3 linked regions of the Schizosaccharomyces pombe genome follow. Changing the gene in region 2 together with the main gene of any one other region gives a genetic interaction. Each region holds a gene or a part of one and is shown on either strand. Other genes may lie near its edges.

Evidence for each region. A genetic interaction does not mean that the proteins touch.
Region 1: mutations in hap2 (region 2) and rdl2 together harm fitness more than expected from each alone (negative genetic interaction), as found in Schizosaccharomyces pombe (one large-scale study listed by BioGRID).
Region 3: mutations in hap2 (region 2) and mmb1 together harm fitness more than expected from each alone (negative genetic interaction), as found in Schizosaccharomyces pombe (one large-scale study listed by BioGRID).

Annotation. Positions count from the first base shown.
Region 1 is NC_003424.3:3,837,603-3,841,419, reverse strand, and holds rdl2 (thiosulfate sulfurtransferase Rdl2), read left to right. Parts: upstream 1-1,949; 5' UTR 1,950-2,039; coding exon 2,040-2,138; exon of another isoform or gene 2,139-2,262; coding exon 2,263-2,314; exon of another isoform or gene 2,315-2,363; coding exon 2,364-2,583; exon of another isoform or gene 2,584-2,649; coding exon 2,650-2,707; 3' UTR 2,708-2,760; downstream 2,761-3,817. Other genes in the region: SPOM_SPAC4H3.06 (uncharacterized protein), read right to left, coding at 3,420-3,480, 3,530-3,609, 3,669-3,817.
Region 2 is NC_003421.2:659,786-663,422, reverse strand, and holds hap2 (Ino80 complex subunit), read left to right. Parts: upstream 1-2,213; 5' UTR 2,214-2,241; coding exon 2,242-2,253; intron 2,254-2,298; coding exon 2,299-2,326; intron 2,327-2,378; coding exon 2,379-2,572; 3' UTR 2,573-2,683; downstream 2,684-3,637. Other genes in the region: protein asi1, read left to right, coding at 1-1,081; sif2 (Sad1-interacting factor 2), read right to left, coding at 3,102-3,125, 3,226-3,637.
Region 3 is NC_003423.3:2,607,631-2,612,837, forward strand, and holds mmb1 (mitochondrial microtubule binder Mmb1), read right to left. Parts: upstream 3,011-5,207; 5' UTR 2,914-3,010; coding exon 1,408-2,913; 3' UTR 1,058-1,407; downstream 1-1,057. Other genes in the region: BTB/POZ family ubiquitin-type ligase substrate adaptor Btb2, read right to left, coding at 1-475, 678-740; SPOM_SPBC25B2.08 (uncharacterized protein), read left to right, coding at 4,579-4,956. UniProt on the Schizosaccharomyces pombe protein: Involved in the cell polarity process and in regulation of microtubule growth. Has a role in meiosis. Involved in microtubule dynamics.

The DNA.
Region 1 (3,817 bases), on a different chromosome or scaffold from region 2:
ATGTATAGGAAATGAACGTAATTTCGAGAGAGAAATCCATTCTCGACAATCTATTCATTCCGCCTAATATTTTTATTCATTCCGCATAGTACTAGAAGCGTGGGAACGGTGTTCCGCCGCTTTGCAATCTCTTTAATTGATATGAGTTAACTTTATACTTCATCCGCCTGCGATTCAAGGTTCGCTTGTATTCAGCAGTTGCGGCTCGATCAGGAGTCTCGTAATCCAGGATTTCGTAAATTATGGCATTGTGATCATGGATCATTAAAAAAAAAATTAAATGTTGTAAAGGTGAATTGAAACGAAAGACAACCATCATTTCAAGCTAAACCTCAATCCAACATCCAAAGAATCAACTAAGACCTAACCGGTATTCACTCTTTAATATGATATCCCCTCTTTATCAGTGATGTTTTCGGGTATCGCAATTATGAAGTAAGTCATTCTTCATAATATTTGATTTCGATGGAAAAAAAGCGCAAAAAAAAAAGAGGAAGAAAATATTAACTAAATCAAAACAGTACGTAATTGGTATTCACAGTTGGATTAAAAGTCTGCTTAAGGAAATTAGCTATTAGCACTAGTTAGCTATGATCAACCGCCGACTGTTGTATTCGGTACCGAGCGACAAGGTTGGTACAATAAGGGACTAAGTGAATGAATGAAATTAATGAAAGCGAATGAATAAGGTAAATATTAATTTAATGGGTGAATTGTAAATAAATTATATTGAGTATTCGAGTGAAACAGATGAACTGTATCGAATTAACCGTTCATATATTTGTCCATAAAAGATTGTAAACCAGAGAGGTATCTTAAACACTGAATCTTACTGACCTTCATTTTTACAAGTTTTTATTTTCCTTCATCCATTGCAATCATTCATTTCGGATGATTGAATTGGAAAACATTGCCAATATGATTATTTAGGTTCATTATTTTATATATTTATTTATTGGCATAAAATTTTTACTACTAGTTTTTCTGCCGCTAAAAGAAACAATAATTTATTCTAGATATAAATTTCTTTTTTTATTTTTTATATTTTAATGGACGCATGTGAATCACTTTTCCATTTGAAATTTCAATTTTCAATAATATGCTGCTACCTTAGAACTTGCAATATTAAAATTGATGCGAAATCTTAGTAAACGTAATATCATGTGCAATACAATCAAAAGTGATTTGAACTGTGACCTAATATCAAAGGTGGACTTACAACCTGTTTTCTAATTGTACTGGCAAATTTAAACATCATGCTTACGTTAAACCTAGCGTTTCTCCATTGCGAGAATATCAGCACTCATAAAAATTTGTGTACTGTGATTTTTTTCCTATTACATTAGCATTGAAGCATGCCATGACATTACAGTACAGTGCATTTCAGGCCCGACGAGAAAAAATAAATAAATAAACTTACGTATACATCTATATAAATCAGCGTCGTATGAATTCCTGTTTTCTCCTAATGATAAAACAAACAACTGTAGCTCAATTGAAAATTAGAGTGCTTGTTTCTGTCAGTGTATTTCCAACAAACATAATTTTATGAATAACAAATTATCCATAAAATGCTTTTTGGTAAATCCATATGCTACCTCCATATAGTAATATACACAATTAAAGATCCGCAATTTTAAAGAACTGTGCCAAAGACGTACGTACAGTTCTATTCTATGAACTTATATACTGAATATGTAATTGTTTAAAAGTGAAACATAGAAAATGCGGCAACTTCATTTTTCCCGATGGATGAATCGCTCTTTTCTTGAATAGTAACTTTAAAAACTACCGTTTTAAAAAAGAAAAATATTATTGAAAAATCTCGAAAATACAAAGATCCATTTCATTTATTGATTCCTCTGAACACAAGCCCCTATAACACTTCAAACCTGCCGATTTCGTAATAGCGATCGTTCATATAATCATACTACTCACCGATCACGCTTATACCACTACCGTCAACTGTGGGAATCTGAGATTTAACCTGCCTGCTGAAAGGGGCCATCTAGCTGTAATAAACCTTGTTTTCACCCATAATGTTTTCTAAAACTCTTTCCGTATCTCGCCTCCTGATGACCCGCTCTTTCTACAGTTCTACAGTAGTTAAGAATGTCAGCATCTTTGATTTCGAAAAGGTAAACCAACATAGGAATACGTTTGCTTTCATATGCGATGTTTTCTGGTTAAAGCTAAGTTTTACACTTCGCTACTCTACTCTCCAAGTATTTTGGAATTATTAACGGTACTAACTTGAAATAGGTTTATAACCTTAGTAAAAGACCAACTGGCGACAAATCCACCGTTTTAATTGGTAAGGACAATACAATAGTGAGTTAAAACTTATTCTGCTAACATGTCAGACGTTCGTGAGCCCGATGAATTTAAGCAAGGTGCAATCGAAACTTCTTATAATTTACCTGTTGGAAAAATCGAGGAAGCCATGAAACTTAGTGACGAGGAGTTTTCCAAGACTTATGGATTCAGCAAACCCGTTTTTGAGGACAACGTTGTAGTTTACTGTCGCTCTGGTAGAAGAAGTACGACCGCTTCTGACATTCTCACCAAACTCGGCTATAAAAAGTATGTTTGTATAGGTGAACAATTCCACTTAATTTCGAGAACAGTGTTCAAAAACTAACCTTTTAGTATTGGAAACTACACTGGCTCATGGCTTGAGTGGTCCGACAAAATTAAGTCTAAGTGAGGGTAGACTCGAACGCTTTCCAGCCTTCTCACCCATTACGTTACCTTTTAGTTTTATATGTAGTTTAAGTTTCTAGAGTTGAATGCATGCATCGTATGCTTGCTCACCATTTTTAGATGATAAGTAAGGTGTACTTAGAAAACAAAAACAATTTTACTGCAATGTAACAATAAGGTGAATTGAACTATGATAAGTTACTTACTCAAGCGATTTATTCCTTCGCATTTCTATTGTCAAAGACTTCGACGAAAGGGTAAAGCTGTAAATACATTGGAAGCTATTAATATGGGAAAATATATTTTGAGACAGTCATTGTAGTTAATTCCGGGTTTAGAAAGAACACCTCCAAATTCAATTAAACTAGGGAATACAGTTCAAGCACGTGTTAAAGATAACTCTAAGAAATTAGTTTTCGAACAACCAGGTGGAATTAAAATTGATGGGTTTTTGACATTTAAAGGCTTGAAGAATACTATTCATACCTTGCCGGTTTGCTCAAAACGCGAATAACATTTTTTTCTTTTGCACTGAATGTTACAATCTCAATTACAAGTATGATTAGAAAGGAGACCTTTGAACTGACTGTCCCCTAAATTTCTAATGTAGAATTTTTACTTTCTCTAAATTTAAGAAAATTCAGAATCATACTTCATAATGTTACTCTTGCTAAAGAGAAAACTTGGATATGCCATAGTAATTAAACCAATTTTCTTCATATTTCATCCTTCATATTTTGTAAGATATCGTTGATTTCTTTAGAAAGTGAAGAAAGTCTAATAATTATTTGTTAGTTATATCTGGATAATTCAATTTTCAATTTACCTAGCTTCCAATTCTGAAATTTGCGTATTCTCAACTGGTGAATTAGTAGAAACAACTTTTAACTGCTCAAGTTTGACGGTCTGCAAATATTATACATTGTAAGTAACTTGCATAGAAAGATTTATGAAAAAAAATTTACCGCTTGTAGCTTAGAGCGCTCTTTTTCCTGTAAAGAATCCACCAATAGTTTAAGCTCCTTAGTAAGAGATGCTTGATAGTTTCGAATATCAGAAGAAACTTCATTTAAACCTTCAGTCACCAGTTGAACAATTATGCCCATTTGCTCAA
Region 2 (3,637 bases):
CGAATTTCCATTTGAACAAGCATTTGAAATCCTTTCAAACGCACTATACGCCCTCGACAACGTACAGACGTATATGCGTCCCATTTTCCAAGGTATCGACAAACGACGCGGATGGAAGTTGGACTGTACTTTCTCGTTTTTTAGCGATTTGTTTTCGCGATTCCCGGTTCAATCATGGTATTCCGAGGCCATTCGTGCTAATCTCCAGCCTTTGATGGATGCGGTTGTTGAACGCTTTATCACCGATAAAAATCTTTCTTCAGCTACCGTTATTCTTTCTAACCTTCTTAAAGCTGCTGGTCCCGCCTCTATTATGCCAAATGATGGGTTTATGATTTTGGTGATTGGTCGCTGCTCTGCTGAGATTCGAGGAAGTCTGGGAATGCTAGTTAAGGCAGTTGGTCAGAAAGGAAAGCATGGAACTGTGTCGTACACGGTTTGTGAATGCTATGAAGTTCTTGGACTCCTCATTCGATATCTATGTGAAAATTGTGACGTTCTTGCCCAAAGAATTGAGCCTGATAAATTTTTCCAACTTCAGCGATCGCTTACTGAGTTGTTTAGCGATACGATGGATTTTCTTCGTGATGCATGGGATAACAATAAAAACCGTGACAATTTAGCATCACATGTAACTGTAATCAGTGCTGTGGCTACCTTGTGTTTGTGGTTGACCGAAGATGACAGCCAATATGCACAAGCCTCTGGTCTTATGGACATATTTGTATATCTGTGGAGGCATAGCTGGTCGAATGGAATTGATTATGCTAAATGGATTAGCGTTGCTCTCCCTTCCATGCTGAGCAACAAGGTTTTCTTTAAAGCTTTTAAAGATTTTGATGCATGGAAAGTTGTTTATGACGATTTTATCAAGTGTAACGATGATTTAAAAGGCGACAAGTCTTTTAACGATTATATACTATCTACGAACGAAGAAGATGGGGAGGATGAACGACTTGCTCAAGCTATTCAAGATTTTCACATTCTCATTCAACTTAACTCTCTTGTTCCACAGTCAATTTGGAATGATGATATTTGGCAAGAGCCATATTGGAAGAATTTGCTTGAATCCAATTTTTAAAAAAGTTTTTGCTTTTAAAACAAATGCCCGCTTTAATATCTCCCCATAATTATTATTTTTCGTTCTTTTTAAGTTTTCTTTTTTTTTGGTCGAAAAAAACATGTCGATTTTTATTTGACAATTATTTAAGTGAAACTCTGCTTCTTTGTCTTTGTTTATTATTTTATTTGATTAATAACTTAATTTCTTGGGTACTTGAAGGGATCTTTAATTTAATACTTGGATTGTGTATCCGGGTTCTTATTATTGCCGTTGTTTTTAAACAATTTCTATGTGCTTTTGTTCATGAAATATTAACTCCTCTATCTTAGACTGGTTTATATTACCAAAAAATATACGTCTAAAACCTCTTTGACCCCTTCTCTTTTTTCTAATTTTCCTCCTCGCCCCTCTTTATTTAATTTCAGCCCACTCATAAATGTCTGTATTGTTTCAATTCAATGCTAGAAGCAAGGTGAAACCCTTGTATTTTTTATTATCTTTTTATCATTTCTGTTTGTTTTTATTTCGTTGTTGAACATTATTTGGTTTCAATTTTCTTTCAGAAGGTTCTTTCTGTTTTATTTCGCTTTTTCCCTTCTGAAAATTATTTTGCCAATGAGACACTGCTTTATTACTTGAAATTTTCTGTGCAACCGGAGCCTGGTTCTGCTGGAAGTATTCGTTTATGACAGTGCATTTATAAAACGAATGACAGATTTACTCTGAATCAGTGGCTGACAATATCATTTTTGAACTTATCCGAAGTAAATTCATGATTCTTTGTTATGAAATGATCATAAATCGTTTTTGAAATATTTGTTCACATGTATGATGTACCTTTGTTTATTGAAATTTGACTTTCGTATTGTAAATGTGAGACATGATCCATTCTTTTTCTACCCAAAAGAAGCAAAAATGTAATATGAATGGATAAGAGAAGTCAGCCAAAAAAGGATTAGCTTTATATTAGACATTTGTTTTTCACTAGCAATACCCAGCTGATGGGTAAGAAAACTAGATAACGGTTTCGGTTCGTATCGTTATAAACCCTTGGTTGCGTAATGTAGTAGGCAATCTTCTATAACGAAGTAAGCAGTTTTTCGTTAAATACAATACAGATTTTAAGCAAACTAGCTTTGCATTCTTCACCAGAAACTGAGAACGTGAAGCTTTCGGGAATGGATCCACAGGTAGGAGGTTTATTACCTATTTGTAATTATTTATTGACCGCGTAGGTGGTAAATTTGCTTCAAGAAACTGAAGGTGTGTACCGATTTTTGTCTGACGACTTTTTGCTAATGAACTCGACGTATAGAGGACGTGTATCGGCGTAAAACCGCAAGGATTCGAAGAAAAGTCTCGGAAATTGAAAAGGAATGCGAAATGTATGCTGTGAAAATTTACAACGTTGAAAGAGACATTCAGCGGTATCGCCATGAAGCGCAATTGCTATCTAAAGTGCTCGAGAAAAAAGGGTTAAATAAAGAAAAGGAAGCTGGTGAGACATAATACTTGTTTTAGGCAGGCGCTTGATGTTTTTATTTTTAAGTCTTCATTCGTTTTAAAATCACTTTGCCGGCCATTGATCTATAATCGTTAACATGCTTTTTTTTGACTAAGTATATGAAGTATGTAATGATTGATGGTAAAAATTGGACTCTGCAACCGAAGAAAAAAAACCTTATGTAATTTTTTGAAAAGTCATACTTTGTGCCGAAATCAATACAATATCTACGTACTATGGCTGTTGTTGTCCTTTTTTGTGTAACCCATTTCAACGTTCTTTTATGTGGGAAATCAACTAGGAATCTTCAAAGAAGAGAAAAAAAGAGCTTTATCTTCTATTAAGTAGGATTATTATAGAAGACTACCGTGTAATGTCAATAAATCATGAACTAACCGAAACTAAAAAAAAACTAAAGGAAAAAGCCGAAACATATGCGTAATCAACTCGATAAATATGGTTTAATTTTTTTGCCCTTTCCCATTTCTTCAATTATGTAAACATAATGTAAAAAGAGGAAAGATTCTTCGGTTGTTATTGAAACAGCTTCCAATCCACCTATGTAGAATAATGTGTTAGCAAACAGTAAAATAAATTTGTTGGAATTGTTGATTACTAAACGGAAGTCATTCAATTTGAAACCATCGGCCAAACGTACCACTATACTGAATAAGGCTATCAGCACCAACAGCCCCATAAGGATTACCACAATCCATTCTAGAGATTCATCATGTGTATGTGTTATCTGTTCTTTCAACATTGAAAGTAGGTCTCCAATTACCTCCACTCTTTGATTTAGTAAAGCAACTCTTTGGTTAATTTCCAAGTAAGACCGTGCTGCTGTATATATAGGTTCTAACTGCGGCTCCGTCCACATCAGCTCAGGACTATCCAAAACGCTTCCTTGTAAATTAATGTTAATTCTTAAAATAAACAACTGGCCTACGGCCATCATAATTTCCTCTCTTTTCAAATTCACTCTGCCAGTCTCGGCAATCATTTGGGGTGTATCTTTAGTAGCATCTATTGTTTCGTTGACCAGCTCTTCAAATAGTGATATTTTGACTGAT
Region 3 (5,207 bases), on a different chromosome or scaffold from region 2:
CCTGAATAGCCTTGTTGAAAAGTCCAGAAGTGAATCTTGGATACATGCCCATCTTAAGACGCTCAAGACCTTCAAAGTTAGGGTCAAGAAATCTTATCACAGATTCCATAGTTTCTGGCCTAATCGACTTTTCTATGAGTGAGGATGCTTCGAAAGCCAACGTGTCTAACCCAAGAAGATCACTAACCGCTAAAACAGAACAAACATTCACCTCAGCAGGGATTCTTGGGGAATCGCAATACAATGTAGAAAGCACAAACAAACAGGATTCCTTAGTAACATAGGGATCCTCTGTCTCTACTTCTATGGTATAATGTACATCACCTTTGGGATTATTTTCAATAAGCTTTTGTAGAAGAACAGGTGATCTGCCAAGAAAAAGGGCATGCAAATGATATGTTTCACCTTTTATAATGAGAGTAGTGTCAGAGAAAGTTCCCTGTAAAAATCCTGCATTAAATACGAAACTTGAAATCTAGCTAGGGTTAGACAAACTCTTTGAAGGAGAGGTAAAATATTCAGACTTTTTTTGTTTGGAAATCGTTAAACAAAACATGAACGATTTAACAATAAATCCAAAATAATTAACTACGCAAACAACCATTAATTTGAGAGTAAAGTTCATACAAGAACTGAGACTCAAGGTACGCAGAAGTTCAAATAGCAAAAATACTTACTGAAGATACCGGTTTCATTATAGAGGGCTCTTGAGAAATTTCCGTTGAGCTGTTCATTGACATGATTGTATTAAAGCCACATCCGTTAGGAGTAATAAAAAGAAATCAGAATGAAACTCGTCAGTAATATTTAAAAAAAAGGTACTAAAATATTGTTTTGGTTTCCTAAGGAAAGCGCACTGGAGTAGCTCGATATTCTTGCAGTTATGAATCGTAACGTAATTGCGCTATCCAAAATATACCGTACAAGTTGCACAAATTAACCCTTCTATTTACTTAATTTTTTGCTAAATGAATTAGTAATGCAGCAATCTCATTTACTTCATAATGTCTTCAATTACTTACTGCTGATAGTTGATAGAGCACGAAAACAATGCCAGTTTGTTAATGTTAATTTATTACATATCGGTTGTATGCTGATGTTGCTGCATGCTGAATTTTAACACAGAGCGCATCCCTCTAAACTTCTCGACTATCATCAAGTCAGTCGTGAAGCTTTCAACTGAATAAACCTATGCAACATAATTTCAGCTTAAAAGCTATTAATTAGCTGATCTTAAGTAATACAAAGTAATATATCAAATCGTAACATCCAATTCTTCCCGTATGGTTTGTCTTATTTTTAATAATAATATCCTTATGATAAAACATCTACATGTGATATAAATTATGCAGAATAATAAGTGTAAATGGAACAGAAGCCATCAAATTACAGCAGCTCACTCAACTTTTATATCATTCTGTTAAGGTCCAAAGGTGACGAATGAGAAGAGTGATTAGTATCGTTAATTTCGGAAGTTTGGTTTTGAAGATAAGAAGGATCATGATGAACGACTGTCGAAGACTCTACCAAAGTAGGCGAATTCTGAATTTCTTTGGTTGTAGCCAATGTTTTAGTGGAAAAGGATGAAGAAGTTAGTGAATGGGCATGCCTGTGTAAAATTGAACTGCTTGGTCTCTCATGAATTGTTGCACGCGAGCGAGATGGAGCCAAAATGCGCAAGTTTGAAGGAGGGCGTTGATTTATTGACGAAGGAGGGCGACGGTTGATTGATGAAGAAGGACGAACGATATTAGCCGCTTTAGTACGAACATTGCCTGTAGTTGTCCTCGAAGAGAGAGTGGATTGAATGCGAGAAGGTGAACGAACACCTAAAGAAGTACCTGGACGAACGATTTTAGCTGATGAATTTTTCACATTAACTTCTCTCTGTTCTAATCTTGAGGGAGTACGCGCCTGCGCGTTACGTGAAACAGGTCGTACAGCTAATGAAGAAGCTACCCGAACAGTTGAGTTAGAAGTGGCAGAGACGTTGGGTCTTTGAGTATTGGACGCAGAGTTTTCTCTGAAGATTCTGGATCCCGGTCGGACAGTCTGAGCTGCACTTACAGGACGCACGATCTTGGTCGATGCGTTGACTTTTACTTTGGAAGGACTAGTAGAATTCTTTGAGATACTTCCGGAAGCATTTGTTACGTTAACTCTAGATAATGGACGGGTGGTGGAAGTCCTTGTGGGTGGACGAACGACAGAAGAATTTCCGAGAGAACGAACAGAAATTCGAGGAGAAGCTGAAGGCTTGTCGTTAGAGCCAGGAGATTTGACGACGGGGCTATCATCCGACTTTGCATTGAAGCCGACCTTTGGTGAGCGCACATTCGGGCCATTACCAAGGCGTGATGGTGAACGAACTGCCATTGAAGATTTCGCTCTCGGAATAGCAGCAATTCTAGCATTTGAGGACATTCGGGCGATAGACGACGTTGAAGGTTTTGTAATAGTAGCGACATGTTTAGAGGTCGTTACAGAAGGAGATTCCTTGGAAGAAATTGAATTCTCATGTAGTGATGCCTCTTTGGGAATGCGAGGTGCGTTATTTGATAACCTGGCCAAACTAGTCGAGGGTCGAAGACGTTGAGAGGGATTACGAATATTCCGAGCTTTGGCTCGTACATTATTAGTCTTTGAAGTAGGATTAGATATTTGGGTATTTCCTAATGACTGGCCTTGGGTAACCCGAGATTGAGAGGTAGGAACTGATGGTGAAGAAATGTTTACTTGCTGTAAAGAGGCACTTAATTTATCAATAGCCGAGGATTCCTCAGTATCCATTACAGAGTTCTCACCTCCATTATGAAGTTGTGAGGTGGTAGAATCCGTGAAAATCGACGTAGAATGCAGTTCCTTGAGAATATTCGATGTTTGCATTTGTAGTTGCTCCAGTCTTTGAAGCATATTAGACTCGGCCTCTGCCAAAGGCTCTTGGCTTGGTGAACCCGGCATTGGCAGAATAAAATTGAATAAGACTCGCAATCAACAACCCTGAATGCACAAAAGAGAAAGCCAAATACACTACACCGTTAGCTGGTATCGCCCAACACTAGGTAGCAATAACAAACTACGTCCTATATTGTTAGTGTATATATAACGAATTCTATTAATCCCCGTAAAACTCTTGCTACCTGATGCAAACAAATAAAATTACCTTCATAAGTGCTGCACTGTTTACATATTTTCTATCCAGCTGACCGATTCTTTTCAATATATGTATTCATTTGACCATAATAATTATCGTTAAATTGTGATTGCTATGAATATACTTTTCCGTTCCCTCCCAGATTTCTGTTCCCGTTGTTTTTCCAAAGCAAATCATTGATGGGAGAGAGCAATGTGAAAATTAAGATGCAAGTGTACAATGAGAATAACATGTACACATTGAGGAAACCCGCTATAACTCTTCTTCCACAGCATCATACCGATTCTACAAATCTCCCGTAGTGGTAAGTACTACGAAAAATGTTATAGTAGAAATATCATTTGAAGAGTTTGTTACCAACTTTTACGACTTTGGTATGTCGTTATTTGAATTAATAAAAGTGATAATGCTTTGTGTGCATTTTTGGGCAACTATCTAGTTTATTTGTTCATTCGGTTCATTCGTCTCCTATGTACCGAGGGAATGTCAAGGAGAGTGTTACTCCCAGTCACTGCTCAAGGTGTGCAAGTTACCTTCGGTTCCTTATTAAATTGACATCAAAGACGGTTTGCAAATGTTACCAGATATGGACGTATATATACATAGAATACCCCAATTAAGACTTTGAAATTCCGTCTTTCACTTTTTAGTCTATATCTATTGTTCAGACTAAACGCAGGCTTAACGCCTTGTCCTACTCCCTTCGCTTCATCTTGTGCTACTCTATTGATGAGTATTTATTAATTTTTCCGCTTTCTTTTGATTAATTCATTCAGCGGTTTGTTTTTGTTTTTCCATCCTTTGTTGTCTTTCATATCGTTTTATTTCGTTCCTTTTTTTTTAACTATCTCAATTGGGATAAGCTTTATTTTTCGTAATTGTAATAAGCTCTAAGAAAACGTTCCCTACTGTTTTACTTTTTTTTATTACTGTTCACTTTCTATTTCCTACTCACGGTTCTCTTGCTTTGCTTCCTTCGATAAAACTAAGCAAGTTTGATCCTTTATTTATTCAATTGTCGGCTTCTAAAACTTCGTCTGTTCGCATAATTTCATATCTCGTTAGGGTAACTTCTTTCGGACGGAACACTAAAGATTTCGTTTACTGATTATTTTCTGTTTACAGTCTGGACTTTATACCCATTTCTAAATAAATTAAACACCCGAAATATCACTACAACCCTATATCCCATTAATCCCTTGGCTATTTGGATTATCAAGCTTATTTATTATTCTCAGGTTTCTCTAATTTTGTGCATAATTCAAGTTTGAAAACATTTCGTGTAATTCAAAAAAAAAGTTTCCCTTTGTTACATATTTGTCGAATTATTTTCTCATTAAAACCTTTAATCCCATCACTTCACCTTTGATTGTGATTTGTTTCCATTTTACTTTTATTTTCTCTTTTTCTTAAAATTTATTACCATGCTTCCACATCAAAATTCCAGTTATACCCGTCAAGGCACTAATGATGCGCAGGCAAATGATATGCGCAGTCCATCGCAACTTCCTACTTCTGTCAACATTGAAGATCCCTCTAAGTTATGTATATCGAGTGAAAAATTAAATACCCCTATGCATAATCGTTCCCGTTCTGGTATTAAGAAACATACTTCTGTCAAGCGTTCTCGCTCCTTCAAACTATTTGATACACTTTTCTTTGGTATTCTAAGGCTCCGTAAGCAACGGATAAGGTCGGTTAAAAAGGTACGATCAATTTCATCTCCTGTCTTAATCAGTACTACTTCTGCCTTGGCTTTGGCTACTATTGAACAACAGCCAGTAATTGGGGAATGTTCGTGATTATTTTGTGCACATGTCAGCATAATTAAATAAATTCATATATAATGCTATCTTTTTGTCCAACTAAATTTTTGATTTTTGATTTTTTTTTTTTTTAATAATTCTGCCGTTCTAATTATTTTTTTTGTTAAGTTAAACTGAGATCTCAGTTGCTTACATATAATATGATCTATTTCGCATGAATAGACTCATCATTATATTTGATTAATTAAATCAATCCTAATGCTTTGCTTTCATTTCCATTAAAATAT